3 linked regions of the Elephas maximus indicus genome follow. The protein of the gene in region 3 interacts with the protein of the main gene of each other region in a pairwise test. Links are inferred from orthologs where the notes say so. Each region holds a gene or a part of one and is shown on either strand. Other genes may lie near its edges.

Evidence for each region.
Region 1: the proteins of PRR13 (region 3) and LGALS3 interact in binary tests that used the Homo sapiens proteins (3 or more experiments, as listed by UniProt). The two-hybrid records come from large-scale screens. The link is inferred for Elephas maximus indicus from reciprocal best matches to the Homo sapiens genes PRR13 and LGALS3.
Region 2: the proteins of PRR13 (region 3) and SREK1IP1 interact in binary tests that used the Homo sapiens proteins (3 or more experiments, as listed by UniProt). The link is inferred for Elephas maximus indicus from reciprocal best matches to the Homo sapiens genes PRR13 and SREK1IP1.

Annotation. Positions count from the first base shown.
Region 1 is NC_064828.1:67,458,216-67,468,852, forward strand, and holds the start of LGALS3 (galectin-3), read left to right. Parts: upstream 1-5,697; 5' UTR 5,698-5,782; intron 5,783-10,637. UniProt on the Homo sapiens protein: Galactose-specific lectin which binds IgE. May mediate with the alpha-3, beta-1 integrin the stimulation by CSPG4 of endothelial cells migration.
Region 2 is NC_064820.1:69,562,775-69,573,217, forward strand, and holds the start of SREK1IP1 (protein SREK1IP1), read right to left. Parts: upstream 4,720-10,443; 5' UTR 4,639-4,719; intron 4,537-4,638; 5' UTR 4,270-4,536; coding exon 4,257-4,269; intron 1-4,256. Other genes in the region: spliceosome-associated protein CWC27 homolog, read left to right, coding at 4,889-4,930, 9,593-9,689. UniProt on the Homo sapiens protein: Possible splicing regulator involved in the control of cellular survival.
Region 3 is NC_064822.1:108,939,908-108,950,059, reverse strand, and holds the start of PRR13 (proline-rich protein 13), read right to left. Parts: upstream 4,242-10,152; 5' UTR 4,144-4,241; intron 3,976-4,143; exon of another isoform or gene 3,801-3,975; intron 3,487-3,800; 5' UTR 3,466-3,486; coding exon 3,447-3,465; intron 2,885-3,446; coding exon 2,511-2,884; intron 16-2,510; coding exon 1-15. UniProt on the Homo sapiens protein: Negatively regulates TSP1 expression at the level of transcription. This down-regulation was shown to reduce taxane-induced apoptosis.

The sequences.
Region 1 (10,637 bases), on a different chromosome or scaffold from region 3:
GGACATGTTGTCAGAAGGGATCAGTCCCTGGAGAAGGACATCACACTTGGCAAAGTACAGAGTCAGTGGAAAAGAGGAAGACCCTCAACAAGGTGGATTGACACAGTGACTGCAACAATGAGCTTAAGCATAGCAACAATTGTTGAGACGGCACAGGATTGTTGGTGTTTCATTCTGTTGTACATAGGGTCACTATGAGTCGGAACCGACTCGATGGCAACTAACAACAACAGCAGATTGTGAGAGAATAAACTTCTGTTTGTTGAAGCCATTCACTTGAGGTGTTTCTGTTACAGCAGCATTAGATGGCTAAGACACTCACCCTTGGAGACTTTCCCTTTTTCCTGCCATCTTCATCTCCTCCTCCCTCCTGGCTTTCTCTATCTGAAGTCTTCCTCACTTGGACACCTGCTGGACCTTTTTCCACCTGCCACAGCTTCCCCTAAATTCTTCTTTCCCCTTCTGATGAGAGGTCTCTTCTAGGGTTCTTGCTTATTTATCAGTCTCCTATAAAAACAAGTCATTCTCTTGCTTGAAGGCTAAGGCTGAGCTTGTCCCTTATTTCAAGTAGCACAGTGATGTGTGCATAGAAGTTACTCAATAATATTTTTATCAATTCTCTTAGATTGCATTTACACTTATCTTGGAAGAGCTTATATAGGCTTGGGGTTAGGTACCAATGAGTAATTTACTGCTTGTGTACAAATTATAAATTCCCAGGCAACCCTGATCACAGCAACATCCTTTTATTTAGCTTTAAAGGGCATGAATTTGGTACCAAAAAGTGCATGGGGATGTGCAAGGGTGGAAGTGAAGCAAAAAGAAAGTTTGATCACACAGGACACAGGCTTTATCTATCCCTGAAACGGCTACAGATTACCAAAAAGGAAAGGCAAGAGGGTGACTCATCCCTTGTCTCCCTAGCAACCCATTTACTGTCCCTTTTTTCCTATTACTTGTGGCTAACCCTCTAATGGTAGTGGTGCCACGACTGGCCATGTGACCTCATGACTCAAAGTCTTAAGGTTTACAGCATTTTCCTAAGAGACAAAGGGCATTCCTGTGGGCAATTCCTTTTTAATACCTTTTACTACGGCTGCTGATCCATTCAAGTAAATTGGTTGCCAGGCAACCTGTTCAGAGAAGATGTTGTATTTTCATAATTAATCCTCAATGCACACAGTGATTTCTGTGCAAGCCTCTAAACCAAGTAAGCTACAGAGAGGACATTGATGAAAAATAAAGTACCGGCCATTAAGGCACTTACAAATTTATCCTAGAGGGTGCCAAGACATCTTCACAATTCCACCTAGTGAGTCCTTCACGTAGACATTTCTCTCCTATGGTGGACAACAGGATGAAACTATTTGTACACAATGTATGAATTATTTGGTTGCTTTAGGTAGCACATGCATTATTTAGCAATCAGGTTATACCTGGTTTTCTCCGTGGGTGACATAAACCAATCCCTACCAGAATTTTTTGCTCAGTGTTTTCCTGGACCAGTTGTGAAACTTTGGACCTCTGGGCTGTCTCCCTAGGCATTGATTAACTTTGATAAGTAAATCACTTTCCCTGACAGTAAAAAAAAAAAAAAAACTTATCTATTTCCTCGTACAAAATAATACGGTGAGGTTAAAAGCAGAGTATATATGGAGTAACTTGAATGTCCTGTGTAAAATATATTAAAGAGTTGATTAATAATTGCTTCCTAATGGAATTGCTTTGAGACTAGGTCTATTTATCCAAAAAAAGTGGTAAATTTTTAGTCAATTCTTCAGGAAATGGATATTGAGAAGGTAGGATTTTTTTTTTTTTTGCAAACAAAAAAAAACCCAAAACCCGTTGGCGTCAAGTCAATTCCGACTCATAGCAAGCAACCATATAGGACACAGCAGAACTGCCCCACAGGGCTTCCAGGGAGTGGCTGATGGATTAGAACCATCAACATTTTGGTTAGCAGCCAAGCTCTTAACCACTGTTCCACCAGGGCTCCCAACAAAACCACCTATTAATTGAATTTTTCACTCTTTCAAATTTTGATCATTTTTAAAGGGCATCAAATAGATAAGTAGAGGGAAGAGTATTGAAAATAATAAAAGTGAACAACCCACAGGATTTTCCTCCAGTGCTCACACCATAAATGTCCTAACAAATATTTATTGCGAGCCTGCTGTATGTACCTTGGATTCATCAGTAAACAATTCAGCAAAGAGTTTTGCCCTCAGGAGAGGAAGTAAAAGCAGAGGCAGGTGGGAAACCAATAAAAAAAAACAATAAACGTCCTAAGTAAGTACAGTGAAGTACTGTTCAGCCACAGGGAGGGGTAAAGTCCAACTGGGTGGAGGTGCCTGCTGCAGTTTTATAAGGGGTGGAAAGAGTAGACCTCATGGAGAACGTGATATTTGAGCAAAGACTTGAAGTAGGTGAGAGAGTTAGGAAACAACAGGAGAAGAGAGTTCCTGATAAAGGGGACAGCCAGTGCAAGATGCTAAGACAGGAGTGTGCGTTGTGCCTGGTGTACTAGATAAACAGCCTAGAGGGCTGGTGTGGCCAAGGTGGAGTGAGTAAGGGGGACAGCAACAGGAAGGAAGGTCAGAGTTAAACTCTAAATTAAAATGTTTGCTTCCTTCTCTAATTTTCCCTTAGTGCCAAAAAAACAAAACCAGTTGCTGTCTAGTCAATTCTGACTCATGGAAGCTCCATGTGTTTCAGAGTAGAACTGTACTCCATAGCACTTTTGATGATGGATTTTTCAGAAGTAGATCACCAGGAAGAAATCCAAGGTGTCTCTGAGTGGACTCGAACCTCCAACCTTTTGGTTAGCAGCTGAGCATGTTAACCATTTGCAATACAGCTTTATATATCATGTATACTTTGTTCTCTAACATCATAAGATCCCAAGTAACCAGGTTACTCAGGTCAGCTAGCATAATTTCTAAGTTCATAGGAACATTGCAGCCCACTGTGAATCACTTTTTAAAAATATTAATTTACCTTATTATTTTTAGAGTAACAAAATGATTATGTTTTGTACATTTTAAGTCAGACTTTTCATTAATCTCTACCCTTCAATCACGTTCTATCAGTGAGATTGTATTACACTTCCATTTTGGTTTACTGAGTGAATCCATTGCCCAAAGCAGGACATGCATAGCTATAGCACAAAGTTACATCACAACCACCAGTAGGCCAGTTCTAGCCAGGCCAGAGGCTATAAGCTTCCCATAGTCTTGTTTTTGCATGAGCAGGACCCCTCCCATAGCTCCTCTCCTGCTCAGTGCAGCCCCCACCCCACTGGCCTAAGAGCACTCTCGCTAGTGCTAACAAACCAGGGACATCTGCTGTGTCCCTGCTCTCCTGCTCTCCTGCCCCTTGGGTGATGTCCACTACCTACATGAAGGAGTTTCACATTGGCACTTCCAGAGGCCTTCCAGAGCGAGAACACAAATGTCTGCCCCAGGAGGCAGCTCTAGAAATTTGTTGACAGCCAGTGCAGTCCTGGGCTATGTGGAGAAGGGGAAGAACAGCTGCCCCACACCTGAGGGCTGTATTTTGTCACCTGGGCCCTGATGCAGCTTCTCTCAAAAAAAAAAAAAGCTTCTATAAAGACAGCACCATCAGTTTCTGGCCCCATCCTTTCTCCCTGGGACACCAACCCAGCAAACGAGGCATGTAGGACTGAGATTGTTATGTCATCTCCTCTTGATTCTTTGTCCTTACTCCATTCCGTTGCACCAAAAGCCCTTCCTTGTCTAGCCAAAGATCCAAAAGCTCCCAGACATGTCAGATCAAACAGATCCAGAGGCTTTCTCACATATGCTATCAGCCAGACTCGGAATCCCAGTTTGAGATAGGAGACTGTGTTATCTGGAATTGAAACATCACACAGAAAGTACGAGAGACAAAGGGGTCAAAAGGGCAACCCTGCTCCTTCCTCATCTCAAAGATAATTCTACCTTGTGGTCAAATATTCTTTCCATTGCTGAATGACTTTCTCAGCTCCTACTAAATCTATTAACTTTTGGTGGATTGTTGTTGGCATTTTTTGTTGTAGTGATGATGAGTATTTTCTTTTTTTTTTTTTTTTTTACCTCAGTCTGTTGAGTAGCGAATATTCCATTTCCAAAGGCTTATTTCTTAGACCCTGACACACTTTCAAGGAGCCTGGGTGGTATAAGTGGTTTATGATCAGCTGCTAATCAGTGCAAGAAAGGCCTGGCAATATGCTTCCATAAAGATTATAGTCAAGAAAACCCTATGGAGCGGTTCTACTCTGGAACACATTGGGGTTGGCATGAGTTGGAATCAACTGGATGGCAGCAGGTTTGGTTTGGTTTTTGTCTGATATACTTTCAACTTGATGTATGTTGTGATCTTGGTCTTACCTAATACTCTGTGCCTCAGTTGTGTCATCTGTAAAATGGGTATGAAAATAATACCTACCTCATATTTTTTTTCATATGTGTACGTAAAGCACTACTAAGTGTAATGCAAGGCACATAAGTGCTCAATGAATATTAGCTATTATGATTATTATCTGAACTTTTAAAAAATCCACCTTGACATCCTTAACCATTTTACTTGGTTATTACCCAGTTAAATGCTACTAAACAAATACCACCTCTCTTTGCAAGCATAGCCATTTACTCTAACAACCTTTCATACAGCCAGCCATAGGAAAAGACCAAAACTAAACTGGTTACCATTGAGTAGGATACAAGTCATAGCCACCCTACAGGACAGAGCAGAACGACCCCACGGGTTTCCCAGGCTGTAAATCTTAGTGGAAGCAGACTGCCACATCTTTCTCCTGTGGGAGCAGCTGGTGGGTTCCAACCACCGATCTGGTAAGCAGCTCAGCGCTTTAACCACTGCGCCACCAGGGCTCCTTTCATATAACCATAGCAATGTCCTATCTCCGCCTTTACCAAAGGTAATTTTTGTATTTAACTGTTATGTCTTCCAGCAGAACTCTCTCCAATCTTTGAGAAAACAGATATTCAGCCTTGCTAAGAAGTGATTCATCCATTCGCTTGTTCATTCATTCATTAAGCAAAAATTTACTGAGATCCTTCTAGCCCCAGAGGCTGAACTAGACGCTGAGAATGTACTGGGGAGCAAAGAGCAAAAACAATTCGGGGAGCTCAGTCTGGACCGTGTGTGCCCACATCACAGTTTTACGGGTCTGAGGTCAGAAAGGAGAATGAACGCAAGGCCTAGAACGCGGGACAGGTTCACCTTGCGCGGCAGGAACTTTCTGACAGGGATTTCCGTATCGAACTCAAATCAGTGTGCTTTGATGCTGACAGGTGGTTTCAGTAAAGTGAAGTGGAGAAGGGATGAGACTGCTTGCTATTCAGGCAGAAAATGCACAAGGTTAAATAAAGCAAGCAACAAGCTCACACTAAAAGCTCAGTAAGCTCTCCCAATCCTCTTTGAAGCTGTGGGAGTGAGTCTGGAGAGAGGAAAATGAACGTGGTCACACTCACATCTCGGGACTGCTGGGGCGGGGGACGAGGGGACGCCGCCCTTCAGGGTCCCACTGGCCGGCCCCCACTCCCTCACAGGACTGAGTCTTTTGCACCGGCGGGGCGGCCGCCCGGGTCCCGGAAGGGGTTCGGGCCTCGCCCAGCCTGGTGCCCAGGGAGAGGCAGGGCGCGCAGGGCCGGCGCCCCGCCCCGGGCGAGGCGGGGCAGGGCCGGCCTATTTGAGGCGTGGAGCCGCAGCCCGGCCAGGAGCCCCGGGAGCGAGCGAGGCAGCCAGCGGACTCCGAGGCGGGGTGAGCGGAGGGGGCGCGGGGTGCGGGTGCCTGTCAGGCCGGCTCGGGCCGGGAAGGGGCGCGGCCCCTCTCTGGAGCGCTCGGCCCAAGCCTGGGCGACCGCGGCGGCCTGGGCACGGACGGCGGGACGCACCTTGCTCTGCCAGCCTGTGCGGTCCGGTGGGCACCGCCTTTGGGGAGGGGTCCATGACCTTAGATTTTCCAGGGTCTGAGACTCGGGGAAAGTTAGCAACGACTTACAAAGATCCACTACGCAGCGGGCAGGTGTGTCTGCGGACGTCCGGCGGGCGGCACGGAGCACTCTCTGTGGCGCCTCGGAGGATTTAACCACCCTGCCCTCCCTCCGCTGCCTCTGCCAGCATTGCTTTATGGACGTGGAGTAAATCCTAGTGCTTGATAAGACACAGGTCAATCGGCTAGGTCGAACTGCGAGGGGTTATCAAACCAAGCAACCCTCGCTAGCTTGGCATTAGGAGCCAGGTCCCCTTTTCCCGGCACCCCGAGGACTCTATAAGGCGACTCTTGGGACTCATGACTTGCCTGCCCCGGGCTACTTCTGTGTGTCTGCCGAACTTTCATCTGCAGATCTTGCTGTGGGCGCGAAATGAGTTCTTTTAACGGGTCCAGCAACGTGGAGGCAGGGGCTGCAGCTTGCTGTCAGAATGCTGACCCCACAGAAAACGCTGCTGTCCCAAGGCCTGAGAGCGCATGTGTCCAGTTTGGCAAAGTCCGGGAGCCCTAAACTTTTGCAAATCAAGTGACTCATTCCTACCCAGAAGGGTTAATTTGGGCTGTAAGAATTCAGATCTGTGCTGAGGATATGTGGGGTGTGGCAACATGTTGGTCTGAGTGCGCAGAGCCCTAGCTAGGGGACTTTTAAAATAGGTTTGAGGGTTTATTCTGAATTATCAGTTGCTCACACTAAAATGCTTCCGCTCTGGGAGTAGGAATTAAATGCCGGGGAGTCAGGCACACATAGATTGAGGCTGTGTCTTAGGCTTCAGCCCAGCCCTTTAAAGATTCCTATTCCAGATACTGTGGAATATTTGTAAAGTGACTCTTGGAAGTTGGATTGCTGGACAATGAGGACAGTTGGGCCTCAGTGATCTGGTCTGTTTCTAGAATTCTGGGAAAGAAATGGAAGGCAGAGTCACTTAATTTTTAGAAAATGATAGAGATAAAAATTAGCCACAGAGCATCAGAGAAAATCTTCACCAACTTCCAATATTCTGATTTGTTTGCCTCAAGATTATAAAGTTTATCTCTCTGTATTAGGAAATGGTTTGTTCCCATGAAAGTTATAGCTTACTAATAATTTAATTTCCCACAAAAACTGTGTTCTTTTCAGACATCAATTTTGATTCCTTAGAGTGGGGTCTTTGATTTCTTTGATGGTTGGGCCTCATTTGTGTTCTTTGGGGGGGGGGGGGGTTGGAGCTGCTTCCTAAATTTAGAGTTTAGAGTTTACATTTACATCCAGCATTTATTCCATACCCTGGAGGGAAGTTTGATGGTGGTCCTTGCATGTTTATAGCTCAGAAGTGTTAGAAGGTTGCCTCACTAAGTTACGTAAGTAGCAGAAGAGGGAAGTTTGGCCTGACTGATTGACCCCTAAAGCTAGTCATTTTCAAGCAGAATAGATGAATCTGTTTGTTGAGGGGTAGCTTGCTGTGCCACACATACACCTAACACACCCACTGCCGTCGAGTCGATTCCGACTCATAGCGACCCTATAGGACAGAGTAGAACTGCCCCGTAGAGTTTCTAAGGAGCGCCTGGAGGATTTGAACTGCCGACCTCTTGGTTAGCAGCCGTAGCACTTAACCACTACGCCACCAGGGTTCCCACATACGCATAGGTGCTTCTTAAAAACTTTTGATCTATTGCTAGCGAGGTCAAGTGACTCATGTTGGTCTTACCTATAATTTAGGTTTACTTAAAAGCCAAATCCAAACCCATTGTCGTCGAGTCGATTCCGACTCATAGAGACCCTATAGGACAGAGTAGAACTGCCCCATAGGGTTTCCAAAGAGCAGCTGGTGGATTTGAACTGCTGACCTTTTGGTTAGTAGCCTGAACTCTTAACCTAGAACCCTTATTAGCCAGACTCTGAATCTTAACTGCTACAGAGAAGTGTATTTATACAGTATAACTTGACAATCTTGTGTTGACCCTAGTATCAAGAGGCTTGTAAATTTATGTATCTGAGCCTCTTGGTGACTGATCTAAAACATAGCCTTTCTTTCCTGAGATGGCTTGGGACACAGCTTCTGCAGAGGGCAGCTGTGTAGCTCTTTGTGTCTGTTGCCTAAACTGGTTCTTCTTATAAAACTCCAACTGGGTAACTGAAGAGACTGCCAGAACAGTGCTTGCTGTATACTTACAGTTTGCTGTTGACTAAGTATCATATGTTCTGTCTTGATTGCTGTTCAGCTTTTCCATAGGGGAAAAAATCAGTAACTGGGAAGCACAAAGTAACTTTACCTCCCTTGATGCTGAGAAACTATGATGAGGACAAAATCCAAGGAGAGGACTGGTCTCCTTTATCCCAACTCAGCATCATGGAATTCAGCTTTGGAAAATAGACTTTCCTCAAGCCCCACTCTGAGTTTCTGCAAGAGCAGGAAGTAGACTGCCTCTCCTGTGTTCTTTAGGGAGTAGGGTGGTGCAGTGCCCTGGGATTCTGAGGAAATATGTTTATGATCTTCCACTACAGCTTGTGTAAAGGTCTGCTCTAAAACTGAGCAGAAGCTTCACAAGTGTTCCTGGGAACCCAGACATAACTGGATTAATTGCTAGGTGGGCCTAGAATAGCATAATGCAGTGGGTAGCTACTAGTTATTAAAGGGAAAAGCTACTAATTAACAGCCGATTAAAATGGTCTACATTCTGACTCGTGTTTAAATTCCTCGTTCTAAAGCTACACGGAGCTATAATGTGTAGTTTTCCCAAATGTGGAGACCTAAATAGTATCTCTCTCTCTTTTTGCTTGTCTTTCATTGTTTCTTTTCTGATTCTTTAAAATTCCCTGATTCTGGGAATGCCAGGATGGAATTCATATATCCGTGGGGTGGGAACTTTTTTTTTTTTTTTACATTTGATTGTCTCTCTTTCTATAAACCACTCATAAAGTTAAAAAAAAAAAAAAAGAAGAGGAAAGGGAGAAATTTTCTAGGCAAGTAAGGAAGGTATTTATTCAAATAGGTATCTACTTTAAAAAATAGAAGTTCTGAGGTTGCCCACGTTGACTTCAAAAGAGTATTGGTATAACCCTCTCAAAAAAGGATCTGAAGTTTGGAGGTTGACATAATCAAAAACAGTGTGTACTCAATTTTTGGAAAAGTACACTTTATTGGTTAAAATGTGGTTATAATTAGCAAAGTGACTGTGCCAAATGGCATCCTGATATTCAACATCACTGAATGAGTCAGCCAGTTAGTTTTCTGACAAAAACATAATCTTGTTTTTTAATTTGTTTACAATTTCACCATGTTAGGTAGTTCTGGATGAATAAGCCATAGAATTAATTTCTAAATGAAATAATTAACACTTTCAAAAGACTGTGCTTTCAAATCTCAAAGCGTGAGGTGTTATATTTGTATAGAAGGAGCCAGAACCAGGGGTCAGGAGGCTTGGGTCCTGGTCCTTGGCCTGCCAATGACAGTATGACTTTGGGCCAACAGGTGAGCTCTCTGAGCCTCAGCTTCCTCAATTTTAAACTGGGAATACTGTATTAATTTTCCCGTCAGTCTCATAAGATTGTTATCAGAATAGGTAAGCTATGTGAAAGTGCTTTGTAAACGGAAAAGTACTACACAAACGCAGGGTGTTATTATTCTAATGGGCTTGTCTAATGTGTCACAACACAATCCAAACTGTCATCCAAGGCGTATGTGAAACACAGTGGAAATAAAGTGAAATCTGCTTTGTTGCTCAAATTGTATTTGGCTGAGTTGAAAAACAAACTGAAGATGTTTGAGCAAAGGCTTTGCAAACATAAGTTAAATTTGGAAGTCTCCTCTTTATGTGAGTTTCTGATTGTAATTGGCCCTTAAACACTATTAGTTTGACTGGAATTTTGGTCATAAGTCCATTGCACTTATGGGCCTTTACGAGGACAATGACACAAATTTAGCTAGTTTTAACAATTGAAACTACCTTTTTGTTATTTGGGTACCCTGGTGGCATTGTGGTTAAGTACTACGGCTGCTAACTGTGAGGTTGGCAGTTCGAATCCCCCAGGCGCTCCTTGGAAACTCAATGGGGCAGTTCTACTCTGTCCTATAGGGTTGCTATGAATCAGAATCAACTTGACAGCAGTGGGTTTGGTTTTTTTGGTTTTTGTTATTTACTCAACTGTGTGTGTACATTTATCTAAAGATATACATGCTAATCAGCCCAGACCACTAGTTCTCAACCAGGCGTAGTTTTGTCCCACAGGGACATTTGGCACTGTCTGGAGACATTTGGGTTGTCACAACTCGTTGGTGGGTGCTACTGCCAAATATCCTACAATGCGCAGAACAGCCCTGCACAACAAACTGTCCAGTCCAAAATGAAAGAGCCCTAATGCAATGAAGACATTTAAATGAGGTAAAAACACTTATAAAGTTATTGCTGGGTCTTTTTTGTGTTACTCAAGGGTGGAAGACTTTGTGCCGTCCAAGGAATGAAGTTCTCTGCGCATCTTGAAGTTCAAAATTGTTTCCTACTAGCACCCAAAATGAAAAAAGCTTTCTTTTCTTTACCTAAGACATTCCCCTTCTTTTCTGTGCCAACTCTTCTCTGGAGTTCCCCCTGTAGTGGCAACACAGCCTTCTAGGGAGTGGCAGCGTTTTGGGAGAAGGAGGCACAA
Region 2 (10,443 bases), on a different chromosome or scaffold from region 3:
CCCATGAAATGTCATGTTGAATCCATGCCAGCATTATACCTAAAAATAAAAGAGCATAACATAACACTTGTCCTCCTTGATGATCATCTCAAAACGTTTCTGATGGAGCCTTATTTTCCTTTAATACACTGTTTGGATCGATTATCCAAGAAATTATTTTAACATCTTCCGTATTTATTTTTTCAAATGGCACCTGCATTGTACTTCTACAGCACTGTCATGCCTATTATCTCAATTTTTGCAAGATTTAAACACTTTATCTATGACTTGCCATCTAGCTTAACGGCTCAATTTAAGATCATTACACTTCGAAGGACTATTTTGATCTGAAAGAAGGTTAACGTAACTGTAATGCTGGTCTAAGATTAAAGGAATTTCAATAAGGGCTTAAAAAAACCTTTGTTCCCCTAAGTAGCACATTTTCTTTACTAGACTTAAGTTTTATGAGTGCACAGATTATGACATTGTGACCCAAGAGAACCATACATTGTGGGTGCTCAAAATGTTTGTTCAAGTAATTCAATCAACAGTGATATCAGGTTAACTTTGGATGCAGCTGTGTCAATCTGTCAACAAATGTCTTCCCACAGAGCACCAGGGCTGACTCAGCCTATCATAAACATCTAGGTAATCTACTGTGAAGGCCAGTCTTTCTCTGCTGGCCCCCTAAATGTTTGTGTTCCTGAAGCTACAGGTACAGACCTTCCCTTTACACGCTATATACTTCTCCTGAGTAAAGTCATCTATTCCCACAGCCTTGTTGTTGTTACGTGCCATCGAGTCGATTCCAACTCACAGTGACCCTATAGGACAGGGTAGAACTGCCCCAAAGGGTTTCCAGGGGGCGACTGGTGGATTTGAACTGCTGACCTTTTGGTGAGCAGCGGAGCTCTTAATCACTACATCACCAAAGCACCTTTATGGTCTTTATGGCCTTACCTCCTATTAAATGTGTGAAGACACTCAGATCATTATTTCTGACTCTGGTTTGTTTCCTAAGCTACAACTTTTCTCTCTACCTGCCCACTAGATATCTCCATTCTTACAACTGAGCACACCTCAACACAACATGCCCCAAACTGAAGCCATCCTCCCCCTAATCCTGCTCCTTCTCAGGTGGTGCCTGTATCAGTAAATGGGCCCACCTAGTTGCCTAAGGAGCCCTGGTTGCTCAGTGGTTAGAGTGTTCAGCTGCTAACCAAAAGGTCGGTAGTTTGAATCCACTAGCCACTCCATGGGAGAAAGATGTTTTGTCTGCTTCCATAAAGATTATAGCCTTGGAAACCCTATGACGTAGTTCTACTCTGTCCTGTAGGGTTGCTATGAGTTGGAATCCACTCAATGGCAATGGGTAATTGCCTAAGTGAAACCTAGGTCAACCTCATTTCCTCTCTTAGCCACACACATACTGAATCAATTACCAATTCGTAGTGATTCTACCTCCAAAAATATATCTCCAATCTGTCTACTTTTCTCCATTCCTACTGACACCATACATTAGTCAGGTATCATCACAATTAAACAAAATTATCCTGATTTGTGACTTTTCCTCCAAATTAGCTCTCCTCCAGCCTGTGCAGCCAGAACAATCCTTCCAAAATGTGAATCTGCTTTAAAACCCTTAAATGCTTTTCAACTGCCCTTACAATCAAGTCCAAACTCTTAGTCATGGCTTATAAGGCCCTTCAAGCTGGAAATGCTTTATAAGTTATACTATAAACGAAATCAAACCTGTTGCCAAAGTGTCGATTTCAACTCATAGTGACCCTATAGGACAGATTAGAACTGCCCTGTATGGTTTCCAAGGAGCACCTGGTGGATTTAAACTGCTGACCTTTCAGTTAGCGGCCGAGGTCTTAACTACTGTGCCACCAGGGCTCCAAGTTATACTACAGCATAGCAAAATGGTAAGAACACAGCGTCTAGGGGTGCCAGACTGACCTAGCTCCATCGTTTACTAGCTGTCTTACAAGTAGACAAGTTACTTGATTTCTGTCTCAGTTTTCTCATCTGTAAAATGGGAAAAATAGTACCTATTTCAGTGGTGTAAACCCTGGTGGCATAGCGGTTAAAAACTACAGCTGCTAACCAAAGGTCGGCAGTTCAAGTCCACCAGGTGCTCCTTAGAAAGCGTACAGGGCAGTTCTACTCTATCCTATAGGGTCACTCACTACGAGTTGGAATCGACTCTCGACGGCAACAGCAACTGGATCTCAGTGGTTAAGAGCTAAGGCTCCTAACAAAAGGTTGGCAGTTTGAATCCACCAGCCGCTCCATGGAAACACTAAGGGGCAGTTCTACTCTATCCTATAGGGTCATATGAGTTGGAATCGACCCAATGGCACACAACATCTCACAGTGCGGTGTTCCCAGGTGGTGCAGTTAATATGCTCAGCTGCTAACTGAAAGGCTGGAGGTTTGACTACACCCAGAGGCACCTCCAAAAGAAAAGCCTCGTGCTCTACTTAAAAAAAAAAAATCTGCCATTGAAAACCCTGTGAAGCACAGTTCTACTGTGCTCCACATGGGGTCACCACTGATAGGAATCCACTCAATGGCAACTGTTTTTTTTTTTTTTTTTAATCTCATGGTACAGTCCTGAAAGTTAAATGAGATGCCTGGCACAGTGTCTGACACATTTGATACATAGTAATGCTTAGTGAATATTAGCTACTGTTATTATCCCTCTAGTTCATTTCTCACTTGTCTCCTGTTTGTATTGAGTTCCATTCATGGTAAACATCTTTAATTTCTTTCTCTTACTGAGCCTTTACACAGCATTTCCCATTCCCAATCTTTAGGTCTCATCCTAAATGGCACATCCTGGCTCCGCCTGTACCCTATTAGGTGCCCTTACTATGTGCTCCCCCTGCCATAGCATTTGCTCCACTTTCTGGTACTTTTTTTTCTCTTCACAGCTAGATTTTAAGTTCTGTGTTTAGAGGGACATGTCTATCTTGCTCATCACTGTATCCCAGTGTGTATAGCACAGTGCCTGGCACACGTAGGCACTCAATGAACATTTGTTATGTGTATAAGTGAGTTGTACTTTCTTCTCTCACAGCGCCTTACGTGTTCCACTTAAAGCTGTACAAGGTAATAAAGCACAAACTTCTTAACAGCTATAGGCAAAATACATTTCTGAAAAGGCTGCCACAGGTCAAAGAACAAGGTCAAATAATATTGGGAAGGCAGGTTTAAACAAAACTAGGGCTTCTGAAACTTAGCACTTCTCAGAATTTTTTCTATACTAAAGTTTACTGTGAATTTCCAGACTGAGAAGGGGTACAGTGTGAACTTTGTCTCAAAACATCTCCTGCAACCAGTGTTCCAAGAAACACATTGTCACAAAACTTAAGGAGATGCTTTCCCCTACTAGAATTTAAGAGTAAGGTGATAGTTGTGGAGGACTAATTCTCTGGTGCACTAAATCTGCAGGGTTCACCGTTTTTAGGTCAGTAACCCAGGTGGAGCAGTGGTTACTCGATTGGAACCCACCAGCTGCTCCGTGGGAGAAAAGACCTGGCGATCTGCTCCCATAAAGATTTAAGCTTAGGAAACATTATGGGATAGTTCTAACCTGTCCTACAGGGCCACTGTGGGTTGGAATCTACTCGACGGCACATGACAGTAATTCTTTATGGACACAGAATCTAAGTGTTGGAAGGAACCTTAGACATAAGCAACAAAGTTCCTTCTTTTACAGATTTGGAAATTGAGGCCAAGAAGGGCAAAGCGACTGGTCCACGGCCACACCACAAGGACATCATACAAAAGGAAAAGTTGGACCTAGAACCCCAGTGGCCTGTTTCATCCCGGCGATTTCCACTACGAACAATGCCTCTCGCTACTTGGGTTCGCCAAGTGCTGCCCACTTAAAAAAAAAAAAAAAAATTTTTTTTTCAGCCATACCAAAAAAAAAAAAAAAAAGGGGGGCAGGTCAATTTTTCTCGGCCACCCACCCCCTTAGGCCTACAGACACTGCCTACTGCCTCTGGCTTCCTTTTTTCCTCCTTTAAGCGTGCCCCGTAATCCTAGAGCAGCCGGGGCTTGGTTAGAGGTGGATGAGATAGTTTCTTTCTCATCAGTTTATTTTTGGAATCAAAACTTCCCAGTAAACCAAACTACCTGCAGTCAATTTTAACGTCTCCGTCTAAATCGCCTTGGGCACTATACTCTAGTCCACAGCCCACTACATCCCACTCTACCCATTCCCTTGCCCTCCGGGACCCAGGAGCCCCGCCGTCGCTCTTCACCTGGGACTGCCATGGCGCTGGCAAGAGAGGTCGCTGGAGCCCTTGCCTTCTAAGGGCGCGCTCGCTTCCCACCGGCCGCGAGGACAACGCACAGCCAAAGCGGCCTCTTCCACCGGCGCCGCGAAACCTCCACTACTTAGCCTCGGAAGGCCCTATAAACCTCTGGATATAGCGGAACCAAGCAGCCGTCCATGCAGTTTCCTTGCGAGTCATATGGCTGAACACACATGGACCGAACCATTACTGCCAGCTTCGGGGGATGGGTATGACCTGCATTCTCCTGTAGTGAAAGTCAACACCAACAAGATTTGTATATAGTTCCTTTAAATATTTTGGTAGAAATTACATTTAAGTAAGAAGGTTGAGACTCTTTTCTCATTACCTGGAAGACATTGGAAACCCCTTCTCAGCGTTGGCGGTGCTGGAGTCCGGGAGCAACATGGCGGCGTCCGTGAGGCGTTAGTTTTGGGAAAGAATAGTGTTTGGTGTTGCAGTTTTGCAGGACTTCAACTGACCGGAGCTTTCTGCGACCACCCAACATAAGGAAGCGTGTACTGATAGGCGGACAGCTCTAGTGGCCGTCCGTCAGCTCTTCTTCCTAATAAGGAGCAGATTCCTGAACACCGACCAGGATGAGCAACATCTACATCCAGGAGCCTCCCACAAACGGGAAGGTGAGAGCCTCACCTAGGGTCCCTGGGCTCCGCGAAGGGTAACCTCCTCAGTTAGGAGAGTTTGGGGTCTTACCGTTGGGAGAGACCAGTGGTGTATTTCTCTCTGTCTCCGAACATGATTGCGCCGAAAACCGTAGGCTGGCATTGCTCAACATATACATGAGAGTCTTCAGGTGGAGATTACTCCATCTTCCAACCCTCAAGCCTTATTATTTCCTGCTCTCAACTCAACTCATGCCGGTATTTTTTAGGGCCTTAGGCTTTTAAAAGTGCATTTTAAAATTTGACATATTCTTTGCTTAATTTGGGGATCTCTCTTTCACCATTCGTTCTAGAATCATTTATTGAATTCTGCTGGGCACCAAAAAACTCCACTGCCGTCGAGTCGAATTCGACTCATAGCGACCCTATAGGACAGAGTAGAACTGCCCTATAGAGTTTCCAACGAGCGCCTGCATTATTCTCTGGGGCTCCAAAGATGGGTGGGTAAGGCCTAGTCGTTGCCCTGGAAGAGCTTATTGTTTAGTTTGGGAGACAGGCATAGTACAGAAAAATCTTATGATACGTTTGGTTTGTGGGCTGTGGAGAGAGGGGTGTATAGCTATGGTAGTACTGAGGAGGTGAGGAACTGAGAAAGTTCGGAAAAGCTTCATGGAGAGGGTATCTTAGCTGGTCTTAAAACATGAGGTGATTTTTAGTTAGAGAGAGTGGGGAATGGGGAATGTTCTCACATTTGAATGGGAGAATGATTTCCTGATAGATTTGGTGGTTAAGGTGTGTCAATTCCTGCCCAGGGTGTTTGAATGCAAAGTGGGGCAGAGGAATCAGCAGTGGAATAAATGTCACCTGAATTCTTGAACTGAGAGCTAGTTTATATCACACACGAAATTTGATGAACCAGCATAATGGAGAAAATAGTGTGACTGGAAGTATATAGGTGAATTAGGATAAACTAAATTTGCTGAAGTTAAAATTCTGTTGTATGACTGTATCCTAAATTATCCAGTATTCTATTGAGGGACATTTGGTAATGTAACAAGGGCAATATGAAAACAACAAAAACAAAAATACTGTAGCAGCTATCTCCAGCAAAAGTTGTAGTGGGTCTTTTGGGCAGAATAATTCTTTAAATTCTTTGTTTTTTGAACATCTCCTGGGCATTAGCATTTGTTCCCTCTCCCCCACACACATCATCGTGAAAACCCAAAATACCTCCCCCCTCATATTTCCAAATGTTTCTTGGAGATAATATCACTCCCAGTTGATAAACACTGGTAGAAGACTGGATAGATTGCCCAGCCTGCCAGGCAGGGCTTTCACATGTGCTGATACTCTCCCTGGTATGCCCTTTTTCCTGCTAAGATGTCAACTGAGCAGAGAGGTCTTTCATATAGAACCTGCTATGAAATAGCAAACCTCATTCATCATGCCCAGCATCTCAGCATTCCCTGCCCCTCCTTAACCTCATCAGTTTTTTTAATAGTTGTTGTTGTTAGGTGCCCTCCAGTCAGCTCCGACTCCTGGCAACCTTATATGTAACAGCACAAATTTTGCCCGGCCGTTTGCCATCCTCACAATTGTTGGTATGTTTGAGCCCATTGTTGCAGCCACTGTATTAGTCCATAACATTGAGGTCTTCCTCTTTTTCACTGAGTTTATCAAGCATCATGTCCTTCTCCAGAGGCTTGTCCCTCCTGATAACATGTCCAAAGTAAGGAGCATTCTGGCTGTACTTCTTCCAAGACAAATTTGTTTACTCTTCTGGCAGTGGATGATATATTCAGTATTCTTCGCCAACATCAATGGTTCATAAACTGGTCATTGCACACTTCAGGGGGTGTGCAAAACCACCCATGGAGTATGGGAAGAAAATCTTCACACTTTTATTTGTATTTATTTTCTCCTTTAATTTTTTAAATGTCATGTTTTGTATGTTCAAAATAACATATAAGCAATTATAATTGGAGATCATTGATTCAGGGTTACAAGGAAGAGAAGACATGTCTAGGTTCCCTTTAACAACAGTGTTTTATTTCAAGTTTGTTGTTGTTAGGTTCCATAGAATCGATTCTGACTCATAGTGACCCCATGTGACAGAGTAGAACCACCCCATAGCTTTTTCTTGGCTGTAATCTTTATGGAAGCAGATCATCAGGTCTTTCTCTACGAAGCCAGTGGGTGAGTTTAAACCGCCAGCCTTTCAGTTGGCACCCTAGCACTTAACTCTTTGTGCCACCAGGACTCCTTTATTTCAAGTATACATGGGGATAATGAAGAAGGACAGGCTGCTGCTTTTTTTTTTTTTTTTTTTTTTAGGTATACTGGGATGTACATCAGGTCCATGGAAAATCAGGTGTTGCACAGTGTAGTTATAGATACAGTCCAAGGTGGAGGGAGTTACCCAGCCTATCAATTTGCGTTCTAATAGTATGCTTTCTGGGAGACTGAGAATCCAGTAGGTTTGGTTTGGAGTGTCTTTTTTGGGCATTGTTTCATACTATGCCAAGTTAAAAGGCCTTGCTCATATCCAGACAATATATTGTCGCCTTTGACTTAGGCAGTGATCCGTATTGAAATCAGTTGTGTCCAGAGTAATCCAGAGATTTCCCTTGAGATACATGGCAGGGCCAGGTAGCACTGGGCTCAAGTCATTCACTGTGTAAAGTAACTCAGATAAGTTACTTTATGTGAGTGTTTCTTATAAGCAAAATGAGAGTAATGATACCTTGTACGTGAGGGTTAAATGGGATAAGTAAAATGGGAGTAATGATACCTTGTACATGAGGATTAAATGAGATAAAATATGTAAAGTGTTTGACATAGAAGCTGACACATGGAGGACATTTAACAAATGTCCCCTTCTTTTTGTAAAGGAAGTTTAGTGGACTGAGAAAATTGTACGTGTTGCATTTCTAGTTCTTTTGTATTTTTTTAGGGTTAAGGAAACCATTTTAGAAGCTACCACAACATAGATATTTTCACTCCCCCCACCCCATGGTTGTTGAAGAAGAGAGCTATGTAGCTAGTAAAAGCCCCCAAAGGTACAATGATTTCACCAATGTTATATAACTTACTGCAGTGTATCTAGGCTTCTGAAAAAGAAATTCAAAGGCAATGTGTTATAGTAAAGGCACTGCCCCGGGAGGGCGGAGAAAACCAAAAAACCAAACCCATTGCCGTCAAGTCAATTCCAACTCATTATCCTGTAAGGGCAGAGTAGAGCTGCCCCATAGGGATTCCAAGGCTGTAATCTTTACGGAAGCAGACTGCCACATCTTTTTCCCTCAGAGAAGCTGGTGAGTTCAAGCCTCTGGCCTTTGGATTAGCAGCTGAGTATTTTAATCACTGCACCACCAGGACTTTTGAGAGGGAGGAGAGCCAGGTGCTATTCCCGTTTTGTCATTAACAAACTCTCTGATTTGTGACAATTTACAATCTCTCTGAGCTATCTGTAAAAAAAAAGCAATCGAACCTGTTGCCCTCGAGTTAATTCTGACTCACAGCGAGCGACCTGACAGGACAAAGTGGAACTGCCCCATAGAGTTTCCAGGGAGCGCCTGGTGGATTCAAACTGCCAGTCTTTTGGTTAGCAGCCATAGCTCTTAACTACTACACCACCAGGGTTTCCCATCTGTTAAAAAAAACAAACCAAATCCTTTAATGATGAGTTGATTCTGACTCATAGCAACAGTAGAACTGCCTGTAGAGTTTCCAAGGAGCACTTGGTGGGTTGGAACTGCCGACCTTTTGGTTAGCAGCCATAGATAGCACTTAACCACTACACCACCAGGTTTCCCATCTGTAAAAGGTGGGGTCTTATTTGAATGATTTTAAAGCTTGCTTCCAGTTCCAAAAAAAGTATATTTGTGGAAGTCAGGTAAATGAGTTTTGGACATAAAGAGTGCGGTTTATGTCCATGACATTAACTACCCGTGAAAATAGCCTCATTAAAAAAAAAAGTTACATTGGATAATCTTTATTTGTAAGAATATTCTAAATGACATTTATTGACACTGATCTACTTGGAGACACTGGGGGAAAAAATAAAAAAGTGATACTGGAGAAACTGGGCTCCAGCTGTGCTACAGTATTCAAATTTTGAGGCTAATCTTTTTGGTTATTAATGACAGCTATAAGCTGTTCCTCAGCTTACAGGGGTTTTGATTATTGCAGCACAGCTAGTTCTTCTAGGGAGTAACTGTCTATGAGCTGATAGAAAAAAATAAAATATAAATTTTTTTTTTCTATCAAATGATTATATTTAATATAGGTGGAGATTTTTAAGACATACCATTTTAGTAAGTACTAAACCTAGAATTAAATTAAGGATATTAGTAATTTAGGAATAGTGTGATTTTAAATGAGCAAGTAGGGTGTTTATATGTAAAAAGATCATTGTAAAATTGTCTTAAAGTATCACAATTTCATTGCTGACTTTTCTTAATTTGCTACACCAGTTTTACGAGAAGTGATGCAACGGGAAACTTTTACAATGAGCCGCAGTGAATATTTGAAATTTTGTTGAGAATTACAACAAAAGCCAAGCAAAGTTTCTAATTTTATTTTAAAATCCACTAGTGAATGCTACAAGTTGAACAGCCATTCAGCTGATGATTAAGTAAAATGATAATTTAATATAACAATGTAATATTCTTTCTACAGGTTTTAATGAAAACTACAGCTGGAGATATTGACATAGAATTATGGTCAAAAGAAGCCCCTAAAGCTTGCAGAAATTTTATTCAGCTTTGTTTGGAAGGTAATCGTAAGTCTTGAGTTTCATTCAGTAGGATACATTTTTGTTAATTTAAAATTAAGCTGCAGTGTATTTTTTGACAACTTCGAAGACTGGTGTTAAATTGGTATGAAAGATCTGATGTTGAGCTACGTGTCAGGAAACAGAGAGAGGAAAATTATTTCCCAAATAAATCTATATAATTTTAACAGAAAAATTTGTCTCATCAAGGAATACTTTGATCCTTTTTATCACCTTTGCTAACTTCTACTTCTTTATTTCATCCTCTAAATGTGGGTGTTCCCCAAAATTGCCTCTAGTTCCCTATTCTCTTTGCTATTCAGTTTTTACCTTCACCCAAATGACTACTAAATTTAAAACTCCAGCCATTTCTTCTCAGCTCCAGTTTTACATTTTTAATTGTCTAGTGAACTTTTATACTTGAGCCCTATTACTGTCAGCTCCAGCTATCAGTTGCTATAAAGTCGATTCTGACCCATGGTGACCACACGTGTTATGGAGTAGAACTTTGCTGTATAGAGTTTTCATGTTTATGACCTTTTGGAAGCCTTCCCAGGTGCCTGTGGGTAGGTTCGAACTGCCAACCTTTCGGGTAGCAACTAAGTGCTTAACTGTTTGCACCACCCAAAGATTCCCAGCTCCAACTAAACTGTTACAAAACCAAGCTTAATTTCTTCTCCAGACTGCTTTGACTTTCACCTGCATAGTGGCTATAATTACCTCTTACCTGGTCTTCCTTTCTCTGATTGTTAATCTC
Region 3 (10,152 bases):
GGAAGAAGAGGAATGCTGCAAGGGGAAAGGGGAGAGGAGATAGCATCAGATCCAAATGATCCTTGATCATCCCAGTGGCCATTCCTTAGTGCCCCACCCCTACACCCAGGTACCCCTTCCCCAAGAAAGTCAGGAGTTGGGAACCAGACTGTCCCTTCAACAGCAAAAGCAAGGGCTTCTTTCAGCAATAAGCATACAGGAATGGATGAAACCATCCTAAATCATTGCACAGAATATAAGGTATTGCATTTGGAGCAAGTATGCAGCTTTCTTTACCTAAGTCAATGCCCAGACAAGGAATCAATTGTAGGCACTAGAACAGTACAGTACTTAGAAACAGCTGCTACCTTATAAATACCTATTGATTAACTGCATAAAAAATTTCTAGTGGCTATGAATCTAAGAAAAGTGAGTAGAAACCGCAGCTGTATGTGCATGTATCTCTACTTTTTCCTAAGCCTCACTGGGAGAAAGTGGGGAAGATGGGAGAGAAGGCTAGGGGAGTCCCATTCAAGGTTCCTTATATGCATAATCCCATCAATACCCACTGCCATCCAGTGGATTCCGACTCACAGCAGCCCTATAGGACAGAGCAGAACTGCCCCAGAGGGTTCCCAAGGCTGTAAATCTTTAAGAAAGCAGACTGCCATATCTTTCTCCAAGGAGTGGCTGGTGAGTTTGAACCACTGACCTTTTAGTTAATAGCAGCGCTTTCACCACCGCACCACCAAAACCAAACAACCAAACCCATTGCCATTGACTCTGACCCATAGTGACCCTATCGGACAGAGTAGAACTGCCCCATAGGGTTTCCAAGGAGCAGCTGGTGGATTTGAACTGCCAACCTTCTGGTTTACAGACATAGCTCTTAACCACCGCGCCACAGGGCTACCATTAAAAACGTTTCTGAGTCTCCAGGGTAATTTCTTCCCCGTTCAATCTCATCTTTCATTCTCCTCAAATTTTAATCAAAGACTCAGAGTCAGGATTCAAGGCCTAATATGGGCCTTAAGAGGGAGTCCTGGTGGTGCAGTGTTTAAGCACTCAGCTGCAAACCAAAAGATCAGCGATTTGAATGCACCAGCCAGTCCATGGGAGAAAGATATGGCAGTCTGCTTCTGTAAAGATTTACAACCTTGGAAACCCTATGGGGCAGTTCTACTCTGACCTACAGGGTCGCTATGAGTCAGAGCCAACTCCATAGCAACGAGTTTGGTTTTTTGGTTTTTATGGGCTTCAAGAGGAGCCCTGGTGGTGCAATGGTTAAGTGCTCAGCTGCTTACCAAAAGGTTAGCGGTCCAAAGCCATCAGAGGCTCCTCAGGAGAAAAGACTTGGTGATCTGCTCCTGTAAAGATTTACAGCCTAGGAAACCCTATAAAACAGTTCTACTCTGTCCTATAGGGTCGCTATGAGTCGGAGTCCACTCAAAGGCACACCAACATAGGCCTTAAGAAGGAGCCCTGGTGGAGACCGTTATGCCCTAAGCTGCTGAAAGAAAGGTTGGCGGTTTGAACCCACCCAGCTGCTACACAGGAGAAGGATCTGGCAATCTGCTCCTGTAAAGATTATAGCCTAGAAAAACCTATGGGGCAGTTCTGCTCTGTCACATGGGGTCGCTATGAGCTGAAATCAACTAGATAGCATCTAACAACATGGGCCTTAAGATGCAAATTAAGGCCTCTTCAAGATCCAGGTAAGCTTAACCCTTCTGGAGTTGTCCTGTGAGCTGGTCTTACCCTTGCTAATTAACACTGCTAGAACAGATAGCAGCCCTAGTGGCACAGTGGTTAAGAGCTCAACTGCTAACCAAAAGGTCGGCAGTTTGAGAATCTGCCAGCAGCTCCCCGGAAACTCTACGAGGCAGTTCTACTCTGTCCTATAGGGGCGCTATGAGTTGGAATCAACTCGACAGCAATAGGTTTGGTTTGGTGAAAACTAAGTATGAAACCCTCTTAGTTCCTGGCTTTGTTTGAGGCTAAGTCTTTCACCTGTCCTTGTCCTCAGTATCCCTGATGAATGGTAGGACAAAAGGCCTAGTTAATTAACAATACACCTTGAAAACACCAAAGGAGACAAAGGAGCTCCAGGAATTAGGGCTAGATTATTATTCTGTTAATCATTATAAAGGACTTTGCTTTGTCCAAGGGCTGACCCTATTAATCAGCATTTTGACAAACTCAGTGGATGTGTCCAACTTGTTAAAACAGGCTTCTGGAGGGGGAGGCAAAGGGGACAAAAGCTTTGGGAGAGGGAACACCAGACAAGAAGGGCTTTTGATTCAGCTATCTATTCTTAGGCTCAGCCTAGACCCTGATAGGTCCAATAAGCTAATATTTCTTCTCAGGATTTCAGTGGGAATCCTTCACAAAAAGGAAGAACTATCTACCAAAGCACCACGATCACCATCCCCTATGGCATAAGACTGAGAATCCCCCTCAACCAACCCCAGCCTGCATAATCTTTCTGAGGGAGCAGGCCCTCTCTACCCAGACTCCAGAGGAACACTGACCTTGCCATGCTTGTGGTGTTTGTGCATCTTTTTATGAGCTTTCTTCATTTTCTTCTGCATCTTCTTGTCCATCACTATTCCTGGTCCTACCATGCCAGGAGCCAAGGGATTCATTGGAGGCACTCCAGGGGCAGATGGTGGGTATGGAGGAGGGCAGGGGCCAGGAGGTGGGCAGGGTTTTGGGGGTTGGCATCCTGGATACCCTGGTTGTGGCACAGGTTGAGGGGGCCCACATGGGGGGAAAGCTGGATTCCCCTGGGGAACTCCTGGGGGTGTGGGAAAGGGACCTGGAGGAAAGGCAGGATTGGCAGGATGTGGATAGACAGGGTTGGGACATCCAGGGTTAGGGCGACATGGATTTGGCCCTGGCTGCCCTGGTGGAAGAAGTAGAGAAAAAATTAAGGTTAGAAACTACCCAGAATCTCTGATAACAACAACAACAAAGAGTAGCAGATTCAGTTTCTCACCCTGTACTTAAAAAGGAAAGGAGCCCTGGTGGCACAATGGTTAAATGCTCAGCTGCTAACCAAAAGGTTGGTGGTTTGAATCCACCCAGCGGCTCAGGGAGAGAAAGACCTGGAGATCTGTTTTCATAAAGATTAACCATAAAGATTACAGCCAATAAAACCCTATGGGACTGCTCTACTTTGTCACATGGGGTCGCTGAGTCAGAATCGCCTCCATGGCACACAACACTTAAAGGAAATGGAAAGGCGAGAACGGAGAAAAGAAGGGTGGGGAGAGAAGCCTGAGTCAGGGAGAAAAAAAACGAACCTGGAAGAGCTGAGCAGAGACAAAAGCAAATGAACTTTGTAGTCTAAGGACTTTGCTTTTGGGGAGGGGAGAATCTGGGAAAAACTGACACAGAAACTTCCTGGAATGGGGCCCATCTGAAAAGGCGGTGGGGAGGAGAGAAGAGATCTAGCAAACACCTACCGGCATTGGGATTCCACATTGTTCAGGTGTTTCCCTAAGCCTGAGGAGAAACAAATGAGGCAAAAAGCTGACGGCCCCCGAGGTGGGAAGGAGATTTTAGAACCCGCGACCACCCTCAACGCTTGCCGCCCCACAGTGGCCTCGCCCACTGTACTTTCAACTACCAGGACCCCTAAGAAACGTTTTCTTCCACTCGTTTTTCGCCCTGAACACCTATTCTATTCCTAGTACCCTAACCACAGGAACCTCTCTCCCATTGCCCCTCCACCTTCCGCTACCTCCGCCACAGATGGAGGTCTCTAACCCCTCACAAGCAGGGCAGAGTCCTTGAAGCTCGCAGTTCCCGTCACTCACCCTCCCCTTCCTCAGACAGAGTCGGAGGGCTTTAACCATCCCATCGCACTGGATAAGGAAGGATCTCAAACAACTTTACCGCTCCCCAGGAAAGGAGGTGGGGGCAGGACTTTCACCCCAGGTTAAGAGAAGGAGAAGCGAAGAAGGGAGCTCAAGACAGATCCTTAAACGTTTAAATATGTAGACACATCCTCTTCCCCGTTAAAAAAAAAAAAAGAGGAAATGGCGATCTTAGCTCCCAGCGGCGATATACCCCTGACCTAGGGATGGGGAAAGGACGAAGTAACCTCGGGCTTAAAGGATGGGGAAAGGAGGGAGTTGGGGGATCCAGATACCCCATTACCTTTACACCACCACCTGGACCTGGTTTCGTCCTTCCTTCCAACCTCAGCTCCCACTTCCTGGTCACCTCTACTTCATGCTTTGGTACCCGCCTCTGCTACCGTCTAATTGGTAATAAGTGGTCATTCAGCGTTAGGACTGGAGAATACTCTCGTCAATCACCTCATCCCTACTAGGTTGGAGGAAATGCTACCTCTAGGGGCGGAGCGAGGTCCTTTAAGGCGAGGCCAGTCCAAAGGGCGGGAAATCCCGTGGGTGCGGACCTAGGAGAAACGGAATGGGGGAAAGGGCGGAGCCACGCCCTGGGCAAAGTCCTGGAGATGCAGAAGTACTCAGGCCATCTTCCGAGCCCACAATCTAGTGGATGCAATACCGTGTATTGCGACTACACCATGGTAACTGTTGTGATACAGATATATACAGAGCTCTAGGGAAAGCTGCTGAGTCCCAGGCCCAGTCCCAGCCCCAAACCCTTAACATTGCCAGCTTCCTCCGGTCATCCATAGGGGGCTAAGAAACATTATTGAGGGATACATAAAGATTTCCTAATCTTTCCCAGGATTCCCCATCTCAATTGTACAGCTCCAACTCTCGAATTGCATAAACCAGAAGCCAAGGGAATCATCCTTGAGGTCTGTTTCTCCATCTCCCCTCCCTCACCCCCATCCAACATGAGAACATGTCCATTTTGTCTGCTGAATAAATCTGGAATCACTCCACTCTCGCCTGGATTGCTGCAATGCTTCCCCCCCCCCCTTTTTTTAACAACCCAGTTTACAAGGTTGATTTAAGGAACATGTGTAGAACCATGCACTCAAAATTCGAGGAACACTGCTTTTTCTTAAACATACCTAGAACATTTATAAAAATTGATCACATTCTAAGTCATACAAGTCTCAGCTGATATAATTCAAATTTTAAAGAATTGTATAATACATATGTTCTTTGACACCAATACAAAATATAAATAAAAACATACATCTGGAAATTAAGGGGAAAAAAAGCCTTCCAAATAACTCATGAGTCAAAACCATAATGGAAATTACTATCATAATGAAAATACTACATCCAAAATTTGTGGGATACAACAAACAAGAAGAAGATAAATGTTATGCTGAGTTTATCATCTTGAACCAGAGCCTTTGATGGATTTTTTAAAACTTTTTATCTTGAAATGGAGTCCCTGGGTGGAGCAAACCATTTGAGTTCGCCCAGAAGCACCTCAGAAGAAAGGCCTGGCAGTCTACTTCTGAATAATCAGCAATTGAAAACCCTGTGGAGCACAGCTCTGCTCTGATACAAATGGGGTTGCCATATATCAGAATCTACTTCATGGCAACTGGTTTGTTATTTTGAAATAATTTTAGACTCATGAAAAGTGCAATACTACCCAGCATTCCCATATACCCTTTCCCCTAATGATAATATCTTACATAACCGTAATACATTCTGACAGATTTTTATATCAGGGTTGTGCTAAATACTTGAAATGGAACGTTTTCCATATTTTCTTAAAGCTGAGGGCAATTTATCTATTCATGATCTTTTTCTTAGAAGATTATTGAATTTGAAAGAAATTATTGATGTATCCATATGGGCATGATGCCTTTTAGAAATTAAATATTTCACTTACTGCTTTTTTTAAAGCAGCTTTATTGAAATATAATTCACATACCATACAACTCACCTATTTAAAGTGTAGATACAATGGTTTTTAGTATATTTAGATGGTTGTGCAACCATGGCCATTATCTAATTTTAGAACATTTTCATCCCCCCTAAAAGAAATTCTACACACATTAGCAGTTAATCTCCATTTCTCCCCCACATTGTCCCCGCCCCATCTCTAAGCAATCTCTAATCAAAGTTCTGTCTCTGAATTTGCCTAGTCTAGACATTCCCTATAAATGGAATCATATAATATGTGGCCTTTTGTGTCTGGCTTATTTCACTTGGCCTGTTCTCAAGGTTCATCCATATCAAAGCATACATCAGAACATCATTCATTTTTATCCCAAATAATATCCCATCGTATGAATATACCACATTTTGTTTATCCATTCATTTGTTGACAAATACTTGAGTTTTTTTTCCATTTTTGAGTTATTACGAACATTGCTGCTATGAATACTCTTGTACAAGTTTTCAGGTGGACATACATTTTCAATTCTATTAGGTATACACACCTAGGAGTGAAATCGATGAATCATATGATAACTCTCCATTTAACTTTTTGAAGATGGCCAGACTGTTTTCCAAAGAGACTGCACCATTTTACTTTCCCACCAGCAACATAGGAGGGTTTCAATTTCTCCACATCCTTGCCAGTACTTTTTATTGTCGGCATTCTATTAGGTGTAAAATGGTATCTCATTGCAGTTTCCACTGGCCTCTTAACCACCTTATCAGCATCCACTCTGACCTCTTCCAATTCATTCTCCATATTGCAGCCTAGGGCGTGTTTTTTAAAAGCCAAATCTAAGGTGCCACTCCTTAAAATTTTTTAATGGCTTTGTATTATCCTTAAAGATAAAAATTATCTTTTTACATTTATATATGTATTTTTATATGTATTTTTGCTTGGACAGATATAGTAAAACCTGTAAAAACAGTAACCTATGTAAGGCAGAAACCTGTCAGAGAAGGAAAACTCAAAATTTTCCACTAAAAGGAATATTAGAAAAATGGTAAGACTGCACCCTCTCAAAGCAAAAAATGTGTAAGACTCTGAAAAACAAGGCAGTCCCATCGAATTTCACTGTAATATGTTCACATGACTTAAAAACCAAAAAGGATAAAGAGGTGTAGAGTGAACATGAAGGGTTCTTCTTCATCTATCAAGCCCCCTTCACAGCCCCTGTCATTAGTTTCTTATATTCCATTATTTTTTTATGTTGTTGTTGTTAGGTGCCATTGAGTCAATTCTGACTCATAGCAACCTTACGTACAACAGAACGAAATACTACCTGGTCCTTCACCATCCTCACAGTCATTGCTATGTTTGAGCCCATTGTTGTAACCACTGTGTCAGTCCATCTCCTTGAAGGTCTTCTTTTTTCCTGACACTCTACCTTGCTGAGCATGATATCCTTCTCCAGTGACTGGTCCCTCCTGACAACACATACAAAGTATGTAAGAAGAAGTCTCACCATTCTTTCTTCCAAGGAGCACACTGGCTGTACTTCTTTCAAGACAGACTTGTTTATTCTTCTGGCAGTCCATGGTATACTCAATATTCCCCAACACTGTAATTTAAGGGCATCAATTCTTCGGTCTTTTTTATTCGTTGTCCAGCTTTCACGTGTATAAGAGGTGATTGAAAATACCATGGTTTGGGTCAGGAATACCTTAGTCCTCAAAGTGATATCTTTGCTTTTCAAAACTTTAAAGAGGTCTTTTGCAACAGATTTCCCCAATGAAATATATTGTTTGATATCTTGACACCAGAGCTTCCAGACAAGACAGATTAGAAAGAAAGACCTGGAAGTCTTCTTATAAAAAAAATTGGCCAGTGAAAACCTTATGAATCCAAAACCAAAAACTAAACCCATTACCATCAAGTCAATTCTGACTCATAGTGACCCTATAGGACTGCGGAGAACTGCCTCATAAGATTTCCAAGGAGCAGCTGGTGGGCTCAAACTGGTTAGCAGCATTTTGGTTAGCAGCAGTGCTCTTAACCACTGTGCCACCAGAGCTCCAACCTTATGAATGGCAGTAGAATATTGTCTGATATAGTGCCAGAAGATGAGCTCCACAGGTTGAAAGGCACTCATAATACGACTGGGTTAAGAGCTGCCTAGAGTCAACCTTAATGGCATGGATGGAGTAAAGCTCTCAGGACCTTCATTTAATGAGGTGACATGACTCAGAATGAGAACAGCTGCAAATATATGTTAATAATCAGAACATGTAATGTACAAAGTATGAATCTAGGAAAATCAGAAATAGTCAAAAATGAAATGGAACATAAAAAGATCGATATTCTAGGCATTACTGAGCTAAAAGGGATGGGTATTGACCATTTTGAATCAGACAATTATATGGTTTACTGTGTTGGAAATGACAAATTGAAAAGGAACGGTGTCACAGTCATCGTCGGAAAGAACATTTTAAGATCTATCCTGAAGCACAACACTGCCAGTGATAGGATAATATCTGTATGCCTAAAAGGAAGACTAATACAATTGTTTTTCAAATTTACATACCAACCACTAATGCCAAAGAAGAGGAAATGGAAGATTTTCCAACTTCTGCAGTCTGAAATTGATCAAACCTGCAATCAAGATGCATTAATAGTGACTGGTGATTGGAATGCAAAAGTTGAAAACAAAGAAGGAGGATCTGTAGTTGGAAAATATGGCCTTGGTGATAGAAACGATGCAGGAGGTCACATGATAGAAATTTTGTAAGAACAGCAACTTATACTCACTGCAAATACCTTTTTTCAGCAATATAAACTGAGGCTATACGCATGGACCTCGCCAAATGGAAAACACAGGAATTAAATGCACCACATCTCTGGAAAGAGACGACGGAAAAGCTCAATATCATCAGTCAGAACAAGGCTGACTGCAGGACAGACCATCAATTGCTCATATACAAGTTCACACTGAAGCTGAAGAAAATTAAAACAAGTCCACAAGAGCCAGAGTATGACCTTGAGTATATCCCACTTGAGTTTAGAGCCATCTCAAGAATAGATTTGACACATTGAACACTAACAACCAAACACCAGATAAATTGTGGGATGACGTCAAGGACATCATACATGAAGAAAGCAAAAGGTCATTAAAAAGACAGGAAAGAAAGAAAAGACCAAAATGGATGTCAGAAGAGACTCTGAAACTTGCTCTTGAATGTAGAGCAGTGAAAGTGAATGGAAGAAATGATAAATTAAAAGAGCCAAACAGAAGATTTCAAAGGGTGGCTTAAGAAGACAAAGTAAAACATTATAATGAAATGTGCAAAGACCTGGAATTAGAAAACCAAAAGGGAAGAACACACTCAGCATTTTCCAAGCTGAAAGAACTGAAGAAAAAATTCAAGCCTTGAGTTGCAATACTGAAGGATTCTACAGGGAAAATATTAAACGACGCAGGAAGCATCAAAAGAAGATGGAAGGACTACACAGAGTCACTATACCAAAAAGAATTGTTAGATCTTCAACCATTTCAGGAGGCAGCATAAGATCAAGAACCGAATGGTACTGAAGGAAGAAGTCCAAGCTGCACTGAAGGAATTGGTGAAAAACACAGCTCCAGGAATCAGCAAAATACCAATTGAGATGTTTCAGCAAACAAATGCAGCACTGGAGGTGCACACTCCTCTATGCCAAGAAAGTTGGTGGACAGCTGTCTGGCCAACCGAACGGAAGAGTTCCATATCTGTGATGTCTTTGAATTATGGTGATATCAAAGAATATTGAATACAACATGGTATTTTCAATATTGAATACACCATGATTCAAATACATCATTTCTTCTTTGGTCAGGCGCTGTATCCATTTGTTGAACCCTCAACTGATAAGCTATCAATTCCTGGAGCCTTGATTTTCACCAGTGCTTTCAGTGCAGCTTGGACTGCTTTTTGGTATAGTGACTCTGTGTATTTCTTTCATCTTCTACTAATGTTTCATTGGTCTTGCAAAATGCTATCATATGATATCCTGTGTCATTTCTATCACCAAGGCCATATTTTCCAACTACAGATCCTTCTTCTTTGTTTCTAACTTTTGCATTCCAATCACCAGTCATTACTAATGCATCTTGATTGCATGTTTGACAAGTTTCAGACTGCAGAATTTGGTAAAAGCCTTCAATTTCCTCATCTTTGACCTTAGTGGTTGGTGTGTAAATTTGAATAATAGTCACATTAACTGGTCTTCCTTGTAGGCGTATGTACTTCAGGATAGATCTTAAAATGTTCTTTTTGACGATGACTGCGACGCCATTCCTCTTCAATTTCTCATTCTCTACATAGTAGACAATGTGACTAACCAATTCAAAAT